Linked DNA regions of Nothobranchius furzeri. The protein of the gene in region 2 purifies or fractionates together with the protein of the main gene of each other region. This does not show direct contact. Links are inferred from orthologs where the notes say so. Each region holds a gene or a part of one and is shown on either strand. Other genes may lie near its edges. The genes, in order: exoc3, exoc6b, exoc8, exoc1 and exoc7.

The links.
Region 1: the proteins of exoc6b (region 2) and exoc3 purify together in Homo sapiens (affinity purification with mass spectrometry; 3 studies listed by BioGRID and IntAct, counting the BioPlex papers as one, with this or other methods). This does not show direct contact. The link is inferred for Nothobranchius furzeri from reciprocal best matches to the Homo sapiens genes EXOC6B and EXOC3.
Region 3: the proteins of exoc6b (region 2) and exoc8 purify together in Homo sapiens (affinity purification with mass spectrometry; 3 studies listed by BioGRID and IntAct, counting the BioPlex papers as one, with this or other methods). This does not show direct contact. The link is inferred for Nothobranchius furzeri from reciprocal best matches to the Homo sapiens genes EXOC6B and EXOC8.
Region 4: the proteins of exoc6b (region 2) and exoc1 purify together in Homo sapiens (affinity purification with mass spectrometry; 3 studies listed by BioGRID and IntAct, counting the BioPlex papers as one, with this or other methods). This does not show direct contact. The link is inferred for Nothobranchius furzeri from reciprocal best matches to the Homo sapiens genes EXOC6B and EXOC1.
Region 5: the proteins of exoc6b (region 2) and exoc7 purify together in Homo sapiens (affinity purification with mass spectrometry; 3 studies listed by BioGRID and IntAct, with this or other methods). This does not show direct contact. The link is inferred for Nothobranchius furzeri from reciprocal best matches to the Homo sapiens genes EXOC6B and EXOC7.

What each region holds. Positions count from the first base shown.
Region 1 is NC_091751.1:65,605,343-65,608,856, reverse strand, and holds part of exoc3 (exocyst complex component 3), read left to right. Parts: intron 1-1,510; coding exon 1,511-1,633; intron 1,634-2,482; coding exon 2,483-2,644; intron 2,645-3,514. UniProt on the Homo sapiens protein: Component of the exocyst complex involved in the docking of exocytic vesicles with fusion sites on the plasma membrane.
Region 2 is NC_091742.1:85,092,777-85,096,783, forward strand, and holds the start of exoc6b (exocyst complex component 6B), read left to right. Parts: upstream 1-1,203; 5' UTR 1,204-1,426; coding exon 1,427-1,515; intron 1,516-4,007. UniProt on the Homo sapiens protein: Component of the exocyst complex involved in the docking of exocytic vesicles with fusion sites on the plasma membrane.
Region 3 is NC_091742.1:10,762,566-10,766,515, reverse strand, and holds the start of exoc8 (exocyst complex component 8), read right to left. Parts: upstream 2,808-3,950; 5' UTR 2,659-2,807; coding exon 1,509-2,658; intron 1,346-1,508; coding exon 1,092-1,345; intron 949-1,091; coding exon 700-948; intron 585-699; coding exon 180-584; 3' UTR 1-179. Other genes in the region: DNA-dependent metalloprotease SPRTN, read left to right, coding at 3,485-3,816. UniProt on the Homo sapiens protein: Component of the exocyst complex involved in the docking of exocytic vesicles with fusion sites on the plasma membrane.
Region 4 is NC_091748.1:40,500,135-40,504,222, forward strand, and holds the start of exoc1 (exocyst complex component 1), read left to right. Parts: upstream 1-1,288; 5' UTR 1,289-1,381; intron 1,382-2,122; 5' UTR 2,123-2,133; coding exon 2,134-2,257; intron 2,258-2,323; coding exon 2,324-2,454; intron 2,455-2,541; coding exon 2,542-2,701; intron 2,702-2,984; coding exon 2,985-3,002; intron 3,003-3,601; coding exon 3,602-3,789; intron 3,790-4,088.
Region 5 is NC_091756.1:53,828,730-53,832,243, reverse strand, and holds part of exoc7 (exocyst complex component 7), read left to right. Parts: intron 1-785; coding exon 786-1,008; intron 1,009-1,447; coding exon 1,448-1,615; intron 1,616-2,248; coding exon 2,249-2,260; intron 2,261-3,514. UniProt on the Homo sapiens protein: Component of the exocyst complex involved in the docking of exocytic vesicles with fusion sites on the plasma membrane.

The DNA.
Region 1 (3,514 bases), on a different chromosome or scaffold from region 2:
CATTGTAAAGTATGAAAATAAAGTTTACACAACCATCTCATGGGCCGGATTTAACCCGCTTGCGGGCCAGATCCGGCCCGCGGGCCGCATGTTTGACACCCCTGACCTAGACTCTGATCCCAGCCAACAGACTGCTTGCAGCTGAAAGGAAGACTCGGTTCAAACCCAAACACATCTTTTAGTCACCTGCAGCTCATGTATTGCTCAGGTTAATGACTCTAAAATGACTGGCCTAAACCTCTTGGAGTGGGATAACAAGTAACCAGCATCTCACCTTTTTGGTTACACGACACCAACGGAGACCCCAGGCACCCAAAATCCTTTTAAGTTTCTTACAGTAAGAAACCAAGGTTTTTATTTAATAGGATGAAAAAAGATGAATCCAAACAGAATCACCCCAACGCAGCGGGTAAGAAAAAACACAGAGCTCCACCGAACTCGTACAGAACTCTCCCAGAACTCAGAACTCTCCTGGGCCCCCCTTTTTATTACTTTACTTCCCCCTCCTTCTTGTCTCCTCTTCGTCTCCATGACAACTCCCGCTTCAGGAAGCACTCTGCTCAGCCTTGTGACTCCTCCCAGCGTCTCTTGCTTGGTGTTCTTCAGGCTTGTGGTCATCAATCGACAGGGCGAGGCGAGCCTTCCTTGTCTTCTCCAGGGGTCTGCTTAAGCCAACCATAAGCATATCCCAGACGCAGCGTCTACCCTGAATCTTTATTGCATTCTGGACTAACCCCACAGAGGTCAGTAAAAGGCTAAAGCCACAACATATATTCACCAAAAACAGCAGAGTCGTGAAGCACATCCATTATTTACGACATTAGGAGATCAGGAGTCAAATCACACACACACATTCACCCACACACAGCCTTTCTTTGACCTCCCAGCCTGGTTTTATTAACACACAGATCGAGAGGTAATCCAGAACTGCTTTCTTTTAATACGCAGGTCTGGAATCAAAAATCTTTGTTCAACAGGTTCAAAGCGTTCCGATGATGGCAACTGGACTTCTTTGGTTTCTTGATGACGTTTTGCTTCTCATTTAAGGAGCTTTGTCAATTCTGACTGGAATATGGGAGGATTAGACTTATAAGCTGTAGCTGTAGCTGTCTGTTGTTGCTGGCGGGAAAAATGTTAGCTGACACACCTGGCGCTGCAGTCTGGCTCCAGCACGTTTCCTGCATGTTTTAGATCATGAAGACAACTGGTTTGTTTAATTTAGTGATGAATCACTTCTGTAGACACTAAGGGCCATTAGATACTTGCTGTTTGACAATGCAAACGTGTGTTTAAAATGGCTGCCACGTGTTACTCGCGTTGATTTAAAGCGTCATTTGTGTGTGTCCCCCCGAAATTAATACAACACGTCCGAACGCTGCAATATACGAGTAACCAGTAGGTAGGGATGTCCCGACACAACTTTTTCACTTCCGATACGATGCCGATATTGAAGCCTTCAGTTTCCTTTCTAGTTTCCTTTTCTGATGAATTTTGATAATGTTTCCAACAGCATCACCTGAGCGAACTGTTGACCAGGAAGTGGCTGACGGGTTCTCATGCAGTTGATACTATCTGCGTCACAGTGGAGGACTACTTCAATGACTTCAACAAAATTAAAAAACCGTTCAATCAGGTGAGACGAGACAGAATCACTATCTGCAAGAAACATTCAAAAGAGATTTTTCAACTGTTTTATGTGAAATGTTTATTCCCTCTGACATTTGACCAACCAAACCCATTTCTGTAGGTGTGACGGTGGTGCAGTGGATCAAAAAACTCAGTTTAGGTCACATCACGGTTTTCAGTCACGGATTGGATCAGTTTTCAGATCAGCAGAAAGAAAAAGAAAAGACAAATAGCTCGTCTCTCTTTATTTATTAGAACACTTGTGCAACATTTTTCTGCTCAATTTGCAACCTGCTATAAAAATAGGAATTACAGAGAGGTCAGATTGCTGATTAAATGTCAAAACAGCTTGCCATTTAAGACACGCCCATTCCCTGCGTTTCCTGCTTTCACTAATTCCCTCACCCTTTTGAAGCACTATTTGTATTCTTTCCTCGTCTTTTACAGATATTTATAGGTCCAACCTCGTTAATGTAATAATTGGCCCAGCATTTTGCATGCCCCCCCCCCCCCCCTTCTGTTTCACAGCAATTGGAGGTACGTCTGCGCTGCGCTGTCAGACTGGAGGCATGTGCGTGTGTGTTCGTTTATGCAGTTTGCATCATCATCGTTTTTTACAGGGAAACCAAAATGCTTTCATACATGAGACGATGCAGGTGGTTTTTCAAGCACCTCTTCTCCTCCGCCATGACCACCGCTGTGCTTTCTTGTTTGGATTGAACAGGTGGCTCCTCGGCCCTTCACGTGTCTCCTCGGACCATGTGCATGCCGAACCGTGGAGTGAGATTCGTGCGGATCAGGGATGATCCGTTGCACCCCTAGATAGAACTAACCTGCTGGACTGTGTTCTGTGTAGGAGATGACCAACGAGGCCCATCGTAGGGTGGTGGTAGAGTACATCAAAGCAGTCATGCAGAAGAGAATCACTTTTAAAAATGCCGATGAGAGGAAAGAAGGAGCCGAAAGGATGATCAAAGAAGCTGATCAGTTCAAATTCCTCTTCAAGAAACTGGCAGCGGTGAGTTTTTACCTGCTGCTGTTTGTTGTTCCATAGTACATGTGGCTGTGCGTGCCCTGTGGTTAAATCTGCTGCTATAGATGAGATTTGAATATATTAAATATGGGAGTAAGGTGGCTGGTGTGCTGTTGAAGAAGACATTCAGATCTAGAAAGTCTAGAAAAACCACCTCTAGGGAAAGGAAAACTGTGTTCATCAACCCTGAACCTGCAACTTTTGTTCATGCTTTTTGAGTTTAAGGACCAGACCTATTCTCTTGTGCTTCTAAGGTTTAGGGTAGGGTTAGATCATGTCCAGCTAAGGACTCAGAAAAAAAAACAACTTCAGAGATAGGAAAAGCTGTAGAAAAAAAACAATAAATGGTCAACATCAGATCAGTGACGCTGTAAGCTCAGGTTGTTGCATGTAGGCTATGCTCTAATTTTGTTTTGTGAAAAAATGTGATTGACAGATTTGAAATGAATGGCTGTGTAAAATAGAAATGAGCTCAATAGAGACCAGGATCCGATTGTGGGGAGCTACTCCAATAAAGATCATTAAAACAGAGCAGTAGTTATTCATTCATTCACAATAAAAAGTAAAAGGAGCCAGCTGAGCACCAAATACATCCAGCACTTCTGATTTTCTATTACATAGCAACTCTGGGTGTTGTAAATGGAGGTGAGATGAGGCAGAATGTTTGAATCATTTGGAATGCACCTATACATTTTTTAGAGTCAAATTTTGGCCCTTCTCTGACAGGACTAAAGTATCCTCTTCCTTCATGTTGTATTCGTCTACTAGAAACTTCAAAACTTAATAGAAACATGCAATGCACATGTTTGTTTATTTGTTTATTTATACATTTATATTTTGGGATGATGAGAAGCA
Region 2 (4,007 bases):
ATTAATAGACCCAAAATAATCGTTTTAACATTAGCTGAAGTTAGCTGTCAAAAAAATCGTCTATCCTCGGCTGAAATTAAACAGTTGTTGGTTAAAAAAATCCTGATTCTGAACAAATCAAAAGATTAGGGGGAGAATACCAAAATACCAGTTTATGAGTTTATACACTCTTGATTGTAAATAAAGAAGAAGAAGAAGAAGAAGAAGAAGAAAATATTTCAATAGCGCCTCTCAAGGTAAAAATCACGAGGCGCTTCACAAAAACAAAAAATGTAAAAATATAAAAAAGAATTTAGAAAGTTGTTAAAATATATTTAAATGAACAAAAAATAGACAATTGTGATAAAAAATGTTAAGAAAGAGAGAGAGTGAATAGGAAAGAGGGAAATCAGTGGATCCTGAGGAAGGTAGAATAGGTGGGGAGAGCAGAATAAAGAGAGAGAAGGTCAGCCTGAACAAGTGAGTCTTCAGCTGCTTTTTAAAGGAGTCCACTGATCTCAGGCTCAGGGGGAGAGAGGTCCAGAGTCTGGGGGCCACAGCAGCAGATGATCTGTCACCTTTGGTCTTTAGCCTGGTGCTGCACAGCCAGTAGGCTTTGATCACTGGACCTCAGGGACCTGCTGGGGGTGTAGGGACTAAGAAGTTCACCAATGGAAGATGGTGCTTGTCCGTGTAAGGCCAGAACCAGGATCTTGAAATGAACCCTGAAGTTGACTGCCAGCCAGTGAAGCTGGAGGAGAAGCGGGATGATGTGGGTGTGTTTGGAGGACTTGGTCAGAAGCCGAGCACAGGCATTCTGAACCACGGTTCAGGGAGGTTCTGCTCAGACACGTGAAAAGAGAGTTACAGTAGTCTAAGCGTGAGGAGATGAAGGTGTGGAGAACTGTCTCAAGTTCAGAGCGGGACAGAATGGGACTCAGCCTAGCAATGTTCCTGAGATGGAAGAAGGAAGAGCAGAACAAGAGAACTGACATGAGAATCCAGGGTGAGAGCTGGGTCAAAGAAGACAAAAAGTGTCCACTTAACCCATGAAATATTGAGCCAAATATTATAGATATGGTCCAAAACTAGTCAACTGTTTATTTCTAGTTATATTAATTATAACAAATACAGTATTCTCATTATTAGGATCTGTGGCGCATGTTAATGAGTTAGTTGGGTTTAAAACCAGAAAACCGCTCGGGATAATCTACTCATCAGTAACTAGTTAATCTTAAGTAATTTATTTTTATTTGCAATGTTTGTAGATTTTAAAGTCCCTTACTATTCAGAAGATTAACACTGAACTGATTATTCATAATATTTTAATTTGACATAAACTCCGCTCCTTCGGGCTGCTCAGTGAAAATATCGAACCAACCCTGCCCTTCCTCCTCCCCGTCGCTCTGCTCGTCGCTGCTCGGAACCGTTCTGAGCAACATGCAGGATGGCGATTGTAGAGACAGCCGCCGAACACGAACGCATACTGCGGGAAATCGAGAGCACCGAGACCAACTGTATCGGACCGACCCTCCGGTAAGTAACACCCCGGAGGATGTCCCCTTCCAGCAGCGGGGAGACAGTCTAGCCGTTGGCGTCACTCCTCTTCCAGAGCTCTCTCAAAACTTTAACATAGATGCGTCCATTATCGGACAGCTAGCCGGCTAACTTTAGCAAACATCAAAGCTGGGTGGAACACATCTCAGAACCTGGTGTTAAAAACCTTAAACAGAAGCTACTGACCGACTGGACTGACTTAATGTCTTTAATTCACCACTGTCCTACAGGCTTTGTCACTAAACTTTAGTAACACATCCACAGGTATTTTAATCGCTTTGGCTAGCATTAGCTTCCTTTGCTAACCAATTGTCATTCTGCTCCTGTTGGGGAACGAGGCTGTTAAAATTAGCTCAGTGCTTTTTCACTCATATGTCTCCCGGGTTTATGACTCGGGTCAGCATTTTGAAGCGGATTTCAACACAATTTAGTATTTCTCGTTATGTTAGTAACGACAAATCTATACGCTAAATCAGGGAGCCTCAAATGCAGCTGCCTTTACAATCCCTGCTTGTTTAGACTCAGAGAGTTCTCTTTGTGAACGAGAGGGTTTCCTTCTGTCTCTTTTTCAAACCGAAGACGTGACATTAGCTGCTGGTTGTAACTGGTGGCTTTTAGCAGAAGCCTGTAATTGATGCAGCGTTATTTCTTCTGCATTTGGTCGCAGCCCTGTTTCTGCTCAGCCCTTCATGGTAAGGCTTGGCACACGAACACTTTACACCACAGCAGCGTGCCATTTTTAAAATTAGATACGTGTGAGTCGGCTTTATTTAGAAATCCATCTCAGAAATGGAAATTTACCGAGAGACTGCTCTTGGTCTTTGCTATTGTCTCTAAGAGGAAACGGGCCGTGGATGGAAAAGGAAATGCAGCGGAGGGACTGGGCTATTGAAGGCTAATCGAAGGTGTGTTTGTGTTTTTGCAGATGTTTGTTTCTCTCTTTAACCACCCCCATGTGGCGGCTATTTTCTGGTCATCCTAAGAAGTGACAGCACGTCTAATGGGGACCTTTTTTGACCTATAAACACTAAATGATGACATGCAGAGTCATGCCCTTCCTACTAAACATGGTTCACACACACACGCACGCACACACACACGGCGGGCCGTACATAAGTCAACACACAACATGTTGGGCAAGTTACTTCAAAACTTTAATGCATTATTTATTACTTGTCCTCATTTTAAAGTAATTCATTACATTACCATATTACTGATTTTAAAATGTAAGGCATTACACTACTTTTGCATTACTTTAAGTTACTTTCACCAAAACAACTTCCATATGAATCTGGTAATCTGCGCTCAGTGAGCTCATGACATATATGTGGAAAGTGATGTGGTGTCTGAGCTAGGATTGCTGTTAAAAACAGTCAGATATAATAACAGTGCTTTAAAATGATTGTTTATTAAATAAAAGCAACAACAATCTGTACTCTCAGCACGCTGCCATCTTAAATTAACTGAGCAGGGAGTGAGGTGGTGGGGGCTCCAAGTAGGGCTGCAACAACGAATCGATAAATTCGATGAAAATCGATTACTAAAAGCGTTGGCAACGAATTGCGTCATCGATTCGTTGTGTCGCACAACTCTTCCAAAAGCGTCCCCCCTTCCCGCCCGCCGTTGCGCGCAGACAGATCAGCGCGAGGGAGAGCCGGCAGGTGTTTGGAAGAGGAACATAGCAGAAGCAGCGAGAGTCAAAAAAGTAAAAGCTTTTTAAGTTTGGGAGCATTTTCAGTTAAATCAGGCGAAGACATTCGTTACCTGCAACGTTTAGGTCAGACTTGGCATGGCACGGGATGATGCAGCGTCTTAAACGCAAGCATGTCGGGATCATCAGCGAGGAAGGAGAGAACTCTGTGTCCGGGTAAATTAAAAACTTTTCAAAAGTGATTCATCCAAGTCCCGGATTATTACACAGGCTAGACATGCCCTAAGCTCCTAAAAAAAAGAGTCTAAAGTCGTGAGCGCGACGCTTATTAGATGAGCGGCGGGACTCGCGCTGCTGCGAACCGGTTCCGCCCAAGGCCGGATTAACTGGGCAATTGCCCAGGGCACGAGCAAAATACTGTATAATTTCCAGCTTTATGAGGACTATGGTGACCGTACGTTCCGTTTTCCCCGGACGTGTCCACTTTTCACTCTCTGTCCGGCGCGTCCGGACTGCGGGTTCTTGTATTGATGAAAATGTCCGGCTTTTCATCCAGGAGCAGGGATCGAATTATGGGGGAGCTGTATATCCTACACATCCAGGGGAACCGGAAAAAAGTTTTCTATATTATATCATTTTTGGACTCTTTTGAGCAGAGAGCGGCACAGCGCATTGTTGCGCAGCGATCCAGGCAGCTGCTTCCAGCGCACGGTCCATTCTCAAAGTGGCGCAACCAAAAAACCATAATTAGTACACGATCGTTCATGTCTGCACATGTTCTCTATTTTCTGTCTTATTTGTGCCTGCAGCGCTCTGCTAC
Region 3 (3,950 bases), about 74 Mb from region 2:
TGACTCTTTCATTTTACCATCATTTCCTTCCTGCAGCATCTAAACACCCAGTAGTTAGTGTTGTGGATCGGGTCTGAGGGGGGAGGTGAAATGACAGGGAGGGAAGGGGGGAGTGGCCACCGGCCGCCGTTTCAGTCTCACGCGGTTTGTTAAACGAGCCGTCGAAGCTCCTGTCGGCCTCAGACTAAGGATGTGGTGCTCTCTGGGTTGATCCGCACCGGCCTCGTGCTCTTCCTCAGGTCCCGCAGCTGTTTGGCCGGTTTCCCCACACCCTCCTCAAACCGCCGCTCCACCACTGGCAGCACGGTGTCGTGGAGGAAGGTGGCGTTCTGCAGGACGAAAGCCTTCTTCTCGGGGTCCTGCTCACAGCGCAGGCTGTAGTCGACGTGCTGCACGGCCACCAGGATGATCTCCCTCAGGCTCTCCAGCAGCACCATGTGCAGCTCGGGGAAGTAGAGCTTCAGACCCTCTTCCAGGAAGCTCATCATCTGCTTGGTGAAGGCCACGATGGTGTAGCTCAAGTTCACCCAGCAGTCATCGCCCGTGTACTGCTGGAAACTAATCCCACAGCTACGCATCTCATCCTGCAAGACGAAGAGAAAAGCCTTAGATGCTGCTCAACACCCGCATTTTCTTTAGTTTTCTTCTTCAAACAAAAGAAACAAACACAAAATTGGGAATTAAGGAAGGCTGTTCGACCTTGAGCTTAGTTAAAGCCTCAGGGGTCATCAAGTTCATCCTCCTCCACATCTCCTCAGAGTTCCGGTGTTTTGTGGCCTCAATGATGATGTTCTTGTAGCTCAGCAGGGCTGCCTTGACGTCTTTGACCAGCAGCGACTGCAGCGTGAACGTCTGATCCAGGCCGATCTCCGTCAGCTGCTGACAGTGCTCCTTGGCCACTTTAACGCACTCTGCTGCTGTCGACAGGCTCTCCTTGCTGTCAAACACCTGGAAAACAGAAAATTGGCCGTTTTGAATCATTTTCTGAAATAATTGGAACAATAATTGATCTTGATTTTTTTTTTATCAAGAATAATGATCGAAACATATTTCTTGACTCATGTTAGGGACATCGCTGAGCCTCTGCTGACCTGTTTGCTAAACGCGTCCACAAACATCGTCATGGCCGATCTGGACCAGACCACAAAGGCAGAGTAGCAGCCCGTGTTCCCCGCAAAGTCCGTCTCAAACTCCTTGGCAGTTTCCAGCAGGCTGGTGAAGAAAATGTTGCAGAGTTTGTGGATGTAGAGCAGCGTGGCTCCTTCGATGCGGAGCTGCCGGATGGCCGTCTGGACAGCCGCGGCGCGGTTCTTCAGGAACAGCTCGCAAGCCTTGGTGGACTGACCTGAAACACAGAAATGACATCATCAACTGTTGGAAATATAACTTTAAATTGTTACAGGCATGGATTCTCCAAGGACTACTCTGGCTTTGTGTTGAAATGTTTACTGGTTTTGGGAAATCAACATTTTAATGGTCTGTGAGATCTTATTAATACAAATAAAGACCTAATCTGATGAGCTGGGACACGGCCCGCCGGGTCGCTTTAGGTCCACCACGAAGCGACCGATCAGGAGACAGCTCAAACACCAAGACCTCAGTCAGCTGCCGCACACGCTCATCCACCTTCGCCTTCAGCTCTTTCACCGTCTGGGTCGCAGGCTGGTCTTTGAGATACTCGTTCAGCTTGTCCAGCAGGTCCACTGCACCCTCAAAGTCTCTCTGAGCGATGCACACATCCAGGTCCTCGGGCAGCTCCTGGATCCACTCGAGACTGAGGTCCACACTCTCCTCGGCATCTGCCGGCTCGTCGTCATCCACATCAAAAGGGTTGTTGGACACTTCGGCTCGCACGGGAGAGGTGGGGACCTCCTCCTCTTTCTTGTGTTTGTCCTGGGAGGCTTTCTTTTTCTTGGTTTCATCCAGGATCTCCAGCCACTCCTTCTTGACTTTGCTGTTTTCCACCTGGAAGATGCGGCTGTCTGGGAACATGAGAATCTTGAACATGTCCTTCATGGGAGGGTTGTCCTTTACGTTGACCACAGCAAAGCTCTCCAGATCATACAGGGCATTGTATTTATACTTCACTGTGCCTCTGCGGTTAGGCAGCCAGGTGGCAATCAACAGGCAGTCATTCATCAGGAAAGCATGAGCCTTCTGGATGGGGGACATGTTGTCCACATCAAACTCCACGAGGTCTCCATTGTAGACCAGGTGTCTCCCTGGGGTGTCCATGATGTTTTTAGCTCCTTCCACCTTCTCCAGCAGTGAGGTGAGAGTCCTCTGCTTCAGGTCCTCTGTCTCTTTGGGGAACGCTGCCTGCATCTCTTTGGAGGTCTCGTCCTTGTCTGTGGACAGTAAGGCCTGAGTGATGCTCTCCATGATGCTCTTCTGCTCGGTGAGGATGTGGCTCAGCTGGTACATCTCGCTCTCCAGGAAGGAGATCTCCTTGGCCGTTTCGATGAACTGTCTGTAGTTCTTGTACACGTTCTTCTTGAGGTTTTGGGCCGTTTCATCAGCCAGAGTTTGAATTTTCTGACGATGCTCCTGAAGGTCTCTGTCGCCATCCGACTGCTGTGACAGCTGCTTGACGTAGTTCTGTGGATCGAAGTTGGGCGATTCCAGCAGCTTCCGAAGTCGGTTCCCGGTTTCCGACATCTTTGGTTGTCTGCGTGTTTCCTTATTAAGCAAAACTGTTAACAAACTGACGAGAAACGCAAACAGAGAACGAGCGCCTTCATATCCACGTCAACAAACACAGGAAGCTGAAAACAGGTCAACACCCCAAAAGGATCTGGCTTCTCCAACACCCGGGTTGTCAACGTCACATGAACGTCACGAGAAGGGAGAACAAAAAGGATGATCAACAAAAACTCAGAACAAAATTGTTATTGATCTTTCAGGTAAACCAAACAATGTTTTATTTTTATTTTAAAGCTTCTGTTTATTTATTTACTCATTTTGCTTTTTGTGTGTTGTTATTTTGCAGTTGTTACTGATTACTGGGCTATTGAACAACACCCGGAATAGGTGTTTTGTTGTCCAACTATTTACCTACCGGAAGTTTACGGTAGCTGCAGAAACATTACAGATTTTCAACAGCGTTTAAACAAGCTAATTTTAGTCATCTGCTGATTAAAATAAGATACAAAACTAAGCGGGGAAAGCCAAATCAAACACGAAATTAAGTTTGAAGTAGTTTTTTATTTAGAAGTTCATACGGAAAGAGACTCGTTGTAATGTAGTACATGTAGCAAACCTGCTGTTTGGCGCGAGCTGTGGACAGACCGACTATTATTACAGATACCTTTGGCTGACAAGAAGATGAGATTCATCTTTCAAAGTCATGACTTCAGTCCTTTTACCGATGTTTCTCTGAAAGGTTGATTTTATAATTAGGCTGCAGACGTCGTTTGTTCCAGAACTTCGTGCTATTTACATTAGCAAGTCAGCTAACAAGCTAGCACAGCTGCCTTCTGATGTCATGGATGCGGATTTCCTGCTTGCCATTAAATTACAGGAGCAGTTCGATAATGAGTACGAGACGTCATTAACCTCATCAAATAGATTCGAGGATAATTACTTCGAACAAAGCAGTAAGAGACGGAAAGTGGAAGCAGCCGGAGGTGGCAGCGCTGCTGTCCCCTCCTGGAAGCCGGGTCACGAGCCTGAGAAACCCCTGAGCATCGTGGATGAGTCCTGGGAGATGCTGGACCCAAACCCAGATGTGAGGGCCATGTTTCTGGAGTTTAATAGCCTGTTCTTCTGGGGGAAACTGAGCGGAGTCGAGGTGAAGTGGAGCCCCAGAATGACACTGTAAGTTTTGTTTGTTCACCAGATTTCCTACAGCAGGGATGTTTATAAACACTGTTGGCTTTACTGGGATTCAAATATGGTAGCCACAAAGCGCGAGATGCTTGGAAAAACATCATTATTGAAGAAAAATAAGG
Region 4 (4,088 bases), on a different chromosome or scaffold from region 2:
TTGATTGATTGAGATTCTTATCTGGGGCCATGAGAATATCATTTGTAACTTTCACTAATACAGTTTCAGTGCTGTGATACTCTCTAAAACCAGACTGAAATTCCTCAAACAGAGCATTGGTGTTTAAATGCTCACATACTTGGATGGCCACTATTTTCTCCAGGACTTTGGATAAAAATGGAAGGTTAGATATTGGTCTATAATTCATTGGGTCATCTGGATCCAGAGAAGGCTTCTTAAGTGAAGGTTAGATTACAGCAACCTTAAAATCCTGTGGTACATACCCATTTACTAAGGATAGACTGATTATACCTAGAAAGGGGGCAGTAACCAAAGGAATTGCATTTTTAAATAATTTGGTTGGGATTGGATCTAAATTGCAAGTTGAAGTTAGATGAAGCTAATATTTTTGATAACTCTGAAAGCTCAACTGGATCAAAACGGTTCAAACACAGATGAGGTTCTACAGTTACCTCTGATGCTGCCTCACTTACTGAGGAAGAAGAAATCACATTAGGGAGGATGCTAAAGATTTTGTTTCTAATGGAATTAATTTTACTTGTGAAAAATTCCATAAAGTTGTTACTGCTGAGTGAATCGATGGTTCAGAGTTATGATTTTGTGTAAGTTTGGCAACTGTACTGAAAATAAATTTTGGATTATTCTTATTCTCCTCAATTAGCGCTGAAAAATAAGCAGTTCTAGCTTGTCGAAGCTTATTTTTATAAAGCACAAGACTATTTTTCCAGGATAAGTAGGACTCCTCCTGGTGTGTAGAGCACCGTGTTCTCTCCAATTTTCTAGAGTTTTGTTTTAAAGTTCGTAAATGAAAATCAAACCAGGGAGCCAACCGCCTATCCCTAATTACCTTCTTTTTTAAAGGGGCAACATCATCTAACACACGCACGCACGCACGTACGCACGCACACACACACACACACACACACACATACACGCATTCAGGCGCATAATGTGAAAGTATAAAAGTAAACATGGTAATAATATATCTAAAATATCAAGTAAATTATTGAGTCAAATTAATCTAAATGTAAACAGAGGCCCATGTTAAGGTGTCAGAAGTAACTTGTAACTGTAAAGGTGTAGTAGTGCACAGAAGCACTGACCTGGCTCCTAGCAGCAATAGATTCAGTTCAGGGTTGGCTCTTACACGTTGTTCAGTTACTGCTTTAAATAAGTTAAATTCGTTCCAAGAATTTCGCACATTACTGAAAATGACCAATAACTTTTAAAAAAAACTATCATTAAAATGGGTTTAGTATTTCCAGTGGGCGTGGCCTTTGGGTTGTCACATGACAGCTGTGGCCGAGAAGCAGGAAGTGAGAGGGCGGTGCTTTGAAGGGCTGCAGCGGATGAAAATAAGGTAAATGCTACGTAAAATCTATACTATTTTCAATATTTATAGAATATTTTGATTACGATATCTAAACACGCAATGTAGAGTCATTTGTGAATGTAGCTACAATGCACGTTGGGCAGTTTTTGCTGATCGTCGATAGCTTAGCAATGCTAGCCTAGGACTAATATCTAACCGGAGAGAGGACAACGTTTTTATAGGAACTAGTGCTGATTCTGTACCACATACACGACCTAAGTTGCTTCAGAACCCTTTAATTCGGGGTTTGGTAGCTTGTTATTGCTTAATAGAAACATTTACTACGATAGTCTCTCAGATTCAATCTCCGGCTTTATGTATACGTTAAACAGTAAACAGTGCAGTCTGCAAAAGCACCAGTCAGTAACCTTTTCCTGTGCTGCTAAAAACTGTCAAATTGGGTTAAATAAACGACTAAAGAATTTTTCGATAGCAAAGGAAAAAAATCAAGACTTGATATAACTTTTAGGGATTTTTTGCTGAATCTCTAAATGTTTTTCCGTGAAACGTCTGATATTTTTGAAGTTTGGTTCTTGTGTTCTCTGAAGGGCCTCGCTCTCTGTAATGTTGGTGGTGTTTGAATCACTCATCCGCCCCCCCCCCCCTCCCCACTTCATTCTGAGTTCCTACTCTGAATATGTGTTTTATTGTTAACTGGAAATCACGAACCGAACACTAGATACGTCTTGCGTTGATCAGATTCATGACTTGTTCTGTTCTGTATGACAGTACGATCCACCATGACAGCCATAAAGCACGCTCTCCAGAGGGACATCTTCACACCCAACGACGAGCGTCTTCTCGGCATAGTTAATGTCTGCAAGGCGGGAAAGAAAAAGAAAAACTGCTTCTTGTGTGCTACAGGTATGTGTGTGAAAGCTGCGGAAGCTCCTGTAAAGAACATTCATGATAAAAGGACTTTTTTTCCAGTTACCACAGAGAGGCCAGTCCAGGTTAAAGTGGTTAAGGTGAAGAAATCTGACAAGGGGGACTTTTATAAGAGACAGCAGACCTGGGAGCTCCGAGACCTGACAGTAGTAGATGCCAAAGATGCAAGCAAGGTTAGAGGTCACACGGTCTGTCATGGCGTCCCCTATTGGTTCAGCACTCTGCAGTTAGGACTGATGCATGCTCTGTTTACGTTGTAGGAAAACCCAGAGTTTGATCTTCATTTTGAGAAGGTTTACCGATGGTTGGCTAGCAGCACAGCTGAAAAAAACTCCTTCATTTCCTGTATCTGGAAGCTGAACCAGCGTTATCTAAGGAAGAAGTTGGAGTTTGTCAACGTCAACTCTCAGCTCCTTGAAGGTGGGTAAATGCTAAAACTTCAGCCAGCTCAGAGTCTGCATGCTCCTTACTATAACTTAATTGTAATTCTTTAAAGATGCATCTTTTCCCCTCAAGCTCTACAACTCTACAACCTTTTGCATGTGTAATGTGTATACCTCCATAATTTGGTAGATTTTATTTACAGGTAGCATGTTTTTAAAACTGAAAGCCTCTTCTTTGTATGTTGGTTTGTGTCAGTAGTTTTCTTTGTTAAGTTCTTTTTTTATTCTCACTCTTTTTCTCTTGATCTTTCTGTGGCCAGAGCTTCCTAAAGCTGAAGGTTGGTAGGAATAAACTTTCCGCTTGATCCCTCCTCCTACCTCTTCATTATACTGTTCATGACCCCAAGCCACCATTTTCATCAAAGATTCTAGTTTTCCTGCATTTCCTGTGATTTAAATCATGTAATTAAACATGGAGGACATAATAATACTAATGATAATTATAACATCAACTGTAACACAAACTTAGGTTGTTCAGCTATTCTATCTATTCCACATTAAGTCATGACTTAATTTTTTTGTGGCATTAGTGCACTGTACACATAGTTTATGCTCACCTCTTCTACATGTTATGTATTAAAATAGTCATAGTCTAATAATAAACACTAAATAAAATTTAGCTCATGTATGTGCTTTTTGACCTCATGCCACTGCCTGAGATTGGTTTTCATTTTGTGTTCATATCCCTGCTACATTATCATCAGATGTCGGTAATAAATGAGATTTTACGGCCTTTAGTAGCATTTCTTTAAACTCTAAATACCTTTGATTCTATTTATTTAAATCAAAGAAATAATAAAAAATAATCTGACAACAATGGCAGTGCTTCTGGTATTATCATCTGTATTCCTAATTTCACTTATTTTCATGGACTTAGAGTCGGTGCCGAGCGGTGAGAGCCAGAGTGTTGCCGGAGGCGACGAGGATGCCCTGGATGACTACCAAGAGCTCAGCACTCGTGAGGAGCAGGACATTGAGAGCATGATGGAGACGTGCGAGTACGCGATCTCTAACGCCGAAGCTTTTGCAGAGAAGCTCTTCAAGGAGCTGCAAGTTTTAGACGGGGTGAGCGAAGCAGTCACTGACGCTCTCTTTTTTTTTTTTTTTGCTAGTTTCTCAGAAAACCCAAATCATTAACGTATTAACTGCCAGCAGTTTCCGGATCAGAAAAGCCTCTCGCTGCCAGTGGTTTTGAGCGTTTTAACGGTTTTTTGAAGAGTCACAGAACGTTGTGCTCAATGATGAAATCAACTCCAAGATCACCAAAACAAAGGGTAGACTCACTTCCCACATCAGGACGGATCCGCGTGTTTCTAGAGTTATCTGTTCTTTCATAATCCGTCGTCATGGCAGATGCTTCTCCG
Region 5 (3,514 bases), on a different chromosome or scaffold from region 2:
TTCACCAGTTATGGAGAAAAAAAGAAAAAAGAAAAAAAAAACACCGAAAAAGAAGCACAACAGCATGACCAGCCACATTACCGTCCTGGGTTAACCCTGTTTTCTTCATTCTTATACTTATTTAAAATTAGGTTTTTATATTTTACTTTAAACTGGTTTGTTTTTACTTTCTTTTATCTCTTCTGTTGGACTGTTCCATAATTTAACTCCTGCAATTGCAATTGACCTAGTTTTTAAAGTTGTTCTAGCACTTTGTATTTTTAAATTCAATTTCCCTCTTAAGTTATACCCACCTTCTCTTTGTTTGAACAATAAACAGATTTCTTTTGGAAGCAATTTATTTCTTACTTTATTTACAATTTAACACCAGCAGTGACTTTCCACTCCCATTATTACCTGTTCAAGTGAAAACATCAATAAAACGACTGAACAAGAACATAGTGACAATATAAATAACAGTAACCATCTATCATTTTAGTCATTTGTAATAATTTACATGAAAACAACTATTAGTATTTAAATTATTTATTTATTTTACATTTAATTGGGTTTTTGGGGCCCATTTCAGGACCACAAACTTGGTGTTTCACGACCCACAGTAAGGTCGCGACCCCAACTTTGAGAACCACCGTTTTACTGTTTGCACAAATTGACTAGGGCAGGGTACAGAGGATGTAATGGTCAGAGCTAAGAGTCGAAGCAAAGCTTAATATTGACAGTAAATCACATAATGGTACCTTTAACTTGTTCATTACGAGATAACAGCTTGGATATTATTTCTGCAGAAAGCTCGTTTTGAGAAGGGTAAAGAGCTGCTGGAGGCCGAATTTCGGAGCCTTCTGAACCGCTACAGTAAACCCGTCCCCCCAATTCTCATCCTGGACGTTATCAGTGTTGATGAAGACATGGAGCTGCAGGAGGAGGTGTTGCTAGAGCACCTGCCTGAGGCTGTCCTCCAGGATATCATCTGCATCGCCAGCTGGCTGGTGGAATATGGACGCAACCAGGGTATGACTAGTTTTAGAGGTGTCTTACGTCTCACTATTTATGAATATTTGGTCCTAAAACTTTTTGGGTTAAACCTGTGGAGTCCTCATCATTGTTTTGGTTCCATAAGTCCAACAAATTGTCTTCAGTCTCTGGGCAGATTTTACACACCAGCTGTTCCTGAAGGTTGATTTTCTTTTATGGTTCATTAATCACAGCTTCCAGGGTAATCATCATGCAATAGGAGGTGGTTCAGGTTGTAGTCCATAACCACCGGTAGGTGTGGGCCATGTCGGGACCAGGAGGAGACCATGGTGGAATCATTATTAGCTGAAATAGTTAAAATACAGAAAATACTTTTCCCCTTATAGAAGCCCATTATCTCTGAGCTAAGTGTTGTCAGACTGTGAGGTATTTAGACACTTCTCTCCCGAACCATCTCTTCTTCTCCTGTCTTCAGATTTCATGAACGTCTACTACCAGATCAGGTCCAGTCAGCTGGATCGCTCCATCAAAGGCCTGAAGGACCACTTCCGTAAGAACAGTGCCTCCTCTGGGATCCTCTACTCTCCTGCTGTCCAAACCAAACGGAAGGACACGCCCACCAAAAAGATTCCAAAGAGACCAGGTCAGCAGCAGATTCCTCTGAGCTTTTGTCTTCATGACCTTTACGCCTTTAGCTGGACCCAGCAAACAAGTCCGAACCTGTTAGATGTCAGAATCTGATTTCCATCCAGCCACGGTCCTCTGAGGATTTGTCAGAGACTCCCTGAGCTTCAGAGATCCTGTCTCTGGTTTTAAATATCTTAGGTGTGTTCTTGCTGTGCGTTATTTCTAATTCCATGTTGTCGTTCTTTTTAAAACACAGAACCAGTTTAGTTTACCTGTTTTGTAGCTACGTTTCGCCGACGGCTGCCGGCTTCTTCAGGCTGACGCTGATGGTGGCGCGTCACTTCCTTCTCCGTTTATCTGCGGGCTGCGCTGGACCACGCACGGGACTGCATCGTCGGAGAGGGGAGAGCGGGCAGTAGAGGGCGACAACATCCTCTGCTGCCCGCAGATAAACGGAGAAGGAAGTGACGCGCCACCATCAGCGTCAGCCTGAAGAAGCCGGCAGCCGTCGGCGAAACGTAGCTACAAAACAGGTAAACAAAACTGGTTCTGTGTTTGAAAAAGAACGACAACATGGGACCTGGTTTTAAATGTTCTAACCATCCTTCATCCTTTCCTCTTCATAATCCCTGTGTTCCGATGACATCAGTCTACATCCCAGGTAAATGCAAAGCTTCAGTGTGAGCACTGTGCTTCCTGCTGTCCGCCTGACGCCACGCTTCGCCTCCATGTCAGTTCGGTTTTCGCTCAGCTGTGTCTGACAGGTCGTTTTCAGCGTGAAGGCCTTTAGCTTCATGGTGTGGAAAATGTCTCATACCGAAAAGGTGAAGCTGATTAAAAGTAATGAGGCTCGTTGCTGTTCCAGACAAACACCCTGGAGTTCCGGCTCACTTTACGGAGACGGGATCCCTAACCCCCAAATTCCACTACCTCCGCTCCGGTCCGTCCCCGCCTTCCGCAGCCGCTCGCTTCCGAACTCAATTTTTCTTGGTACCCGCTCTACAACGGCTCCGCTCCGGTGCGGAGACCTGAGGTGGGCAAACAAGCGTGCGCAGGATTTTCGAGATCTTGCGATACAGTCCGAGCAATAAACGCGGAAGTTTAGATCCAAACACCCGTTGTGTGGGAGAAGCATCGACAAGAACTGCTTAATCTGCCCATCATTTGTGTTGAGAGATCAGCAGTGTTTGGATCAACAAAGTGTGACTACTTTGACAGTAGAAACTGTATTTATGGCTTACTTTTGTGCATTTAAACTTCAGCTGCCATTGATAGTTGTTAAAAGTTGTTAAACCTGTGCATATGAAACAAAAAACGCCTTTTGTTTATCGATTTATTGTGAAAAACGGAAGTTGTGCTTGCTCCTTTTCCTGTTGGGCGGTTGTGATTTCTGTCCATTTAATGCGGAGGTGCTCCGGCGTCCGGCAAAAATAGGATCGATTCTATTTTTGCCGGACGCCGGAACAGAGGGCGGCGCACGGCGCCGCACTGCTGGAGCACGGCCGCAGTAGTGGAATTGCTCTGATTGACTACAACGGGACCGATTTTGCTCCGGCGTTCGTGTCGGAGCGGAGCGGAGGTAGTGGAATTTGGGGGTAAAGGTCTTCTGCTGTGGAGGGTTTCAGTTTGTCTAGATTGGTTGTTGTAGTTTAAATCAGGAACCAGTTCTTGACATGTACTGGTGAAGAGGTTTGTGTGTCAAGGCGGTTCAGAAGCGTTTCTAACTATTGTTTATTCCTAGTCAAGCTGTGATGAAGTCTTGATAAAAAGTACATTGCTTAAACGTAACAGAATGTCAGTTGTTTAGCAGCCTGTTGTTGAATTAACTCACATTTAATGCAAACGTCTCAAAAAACATTTGATTAGCAAAATCCTGAGTGAAAGGAGCAACTTTCCAGACTTACTTCCTGGTGAA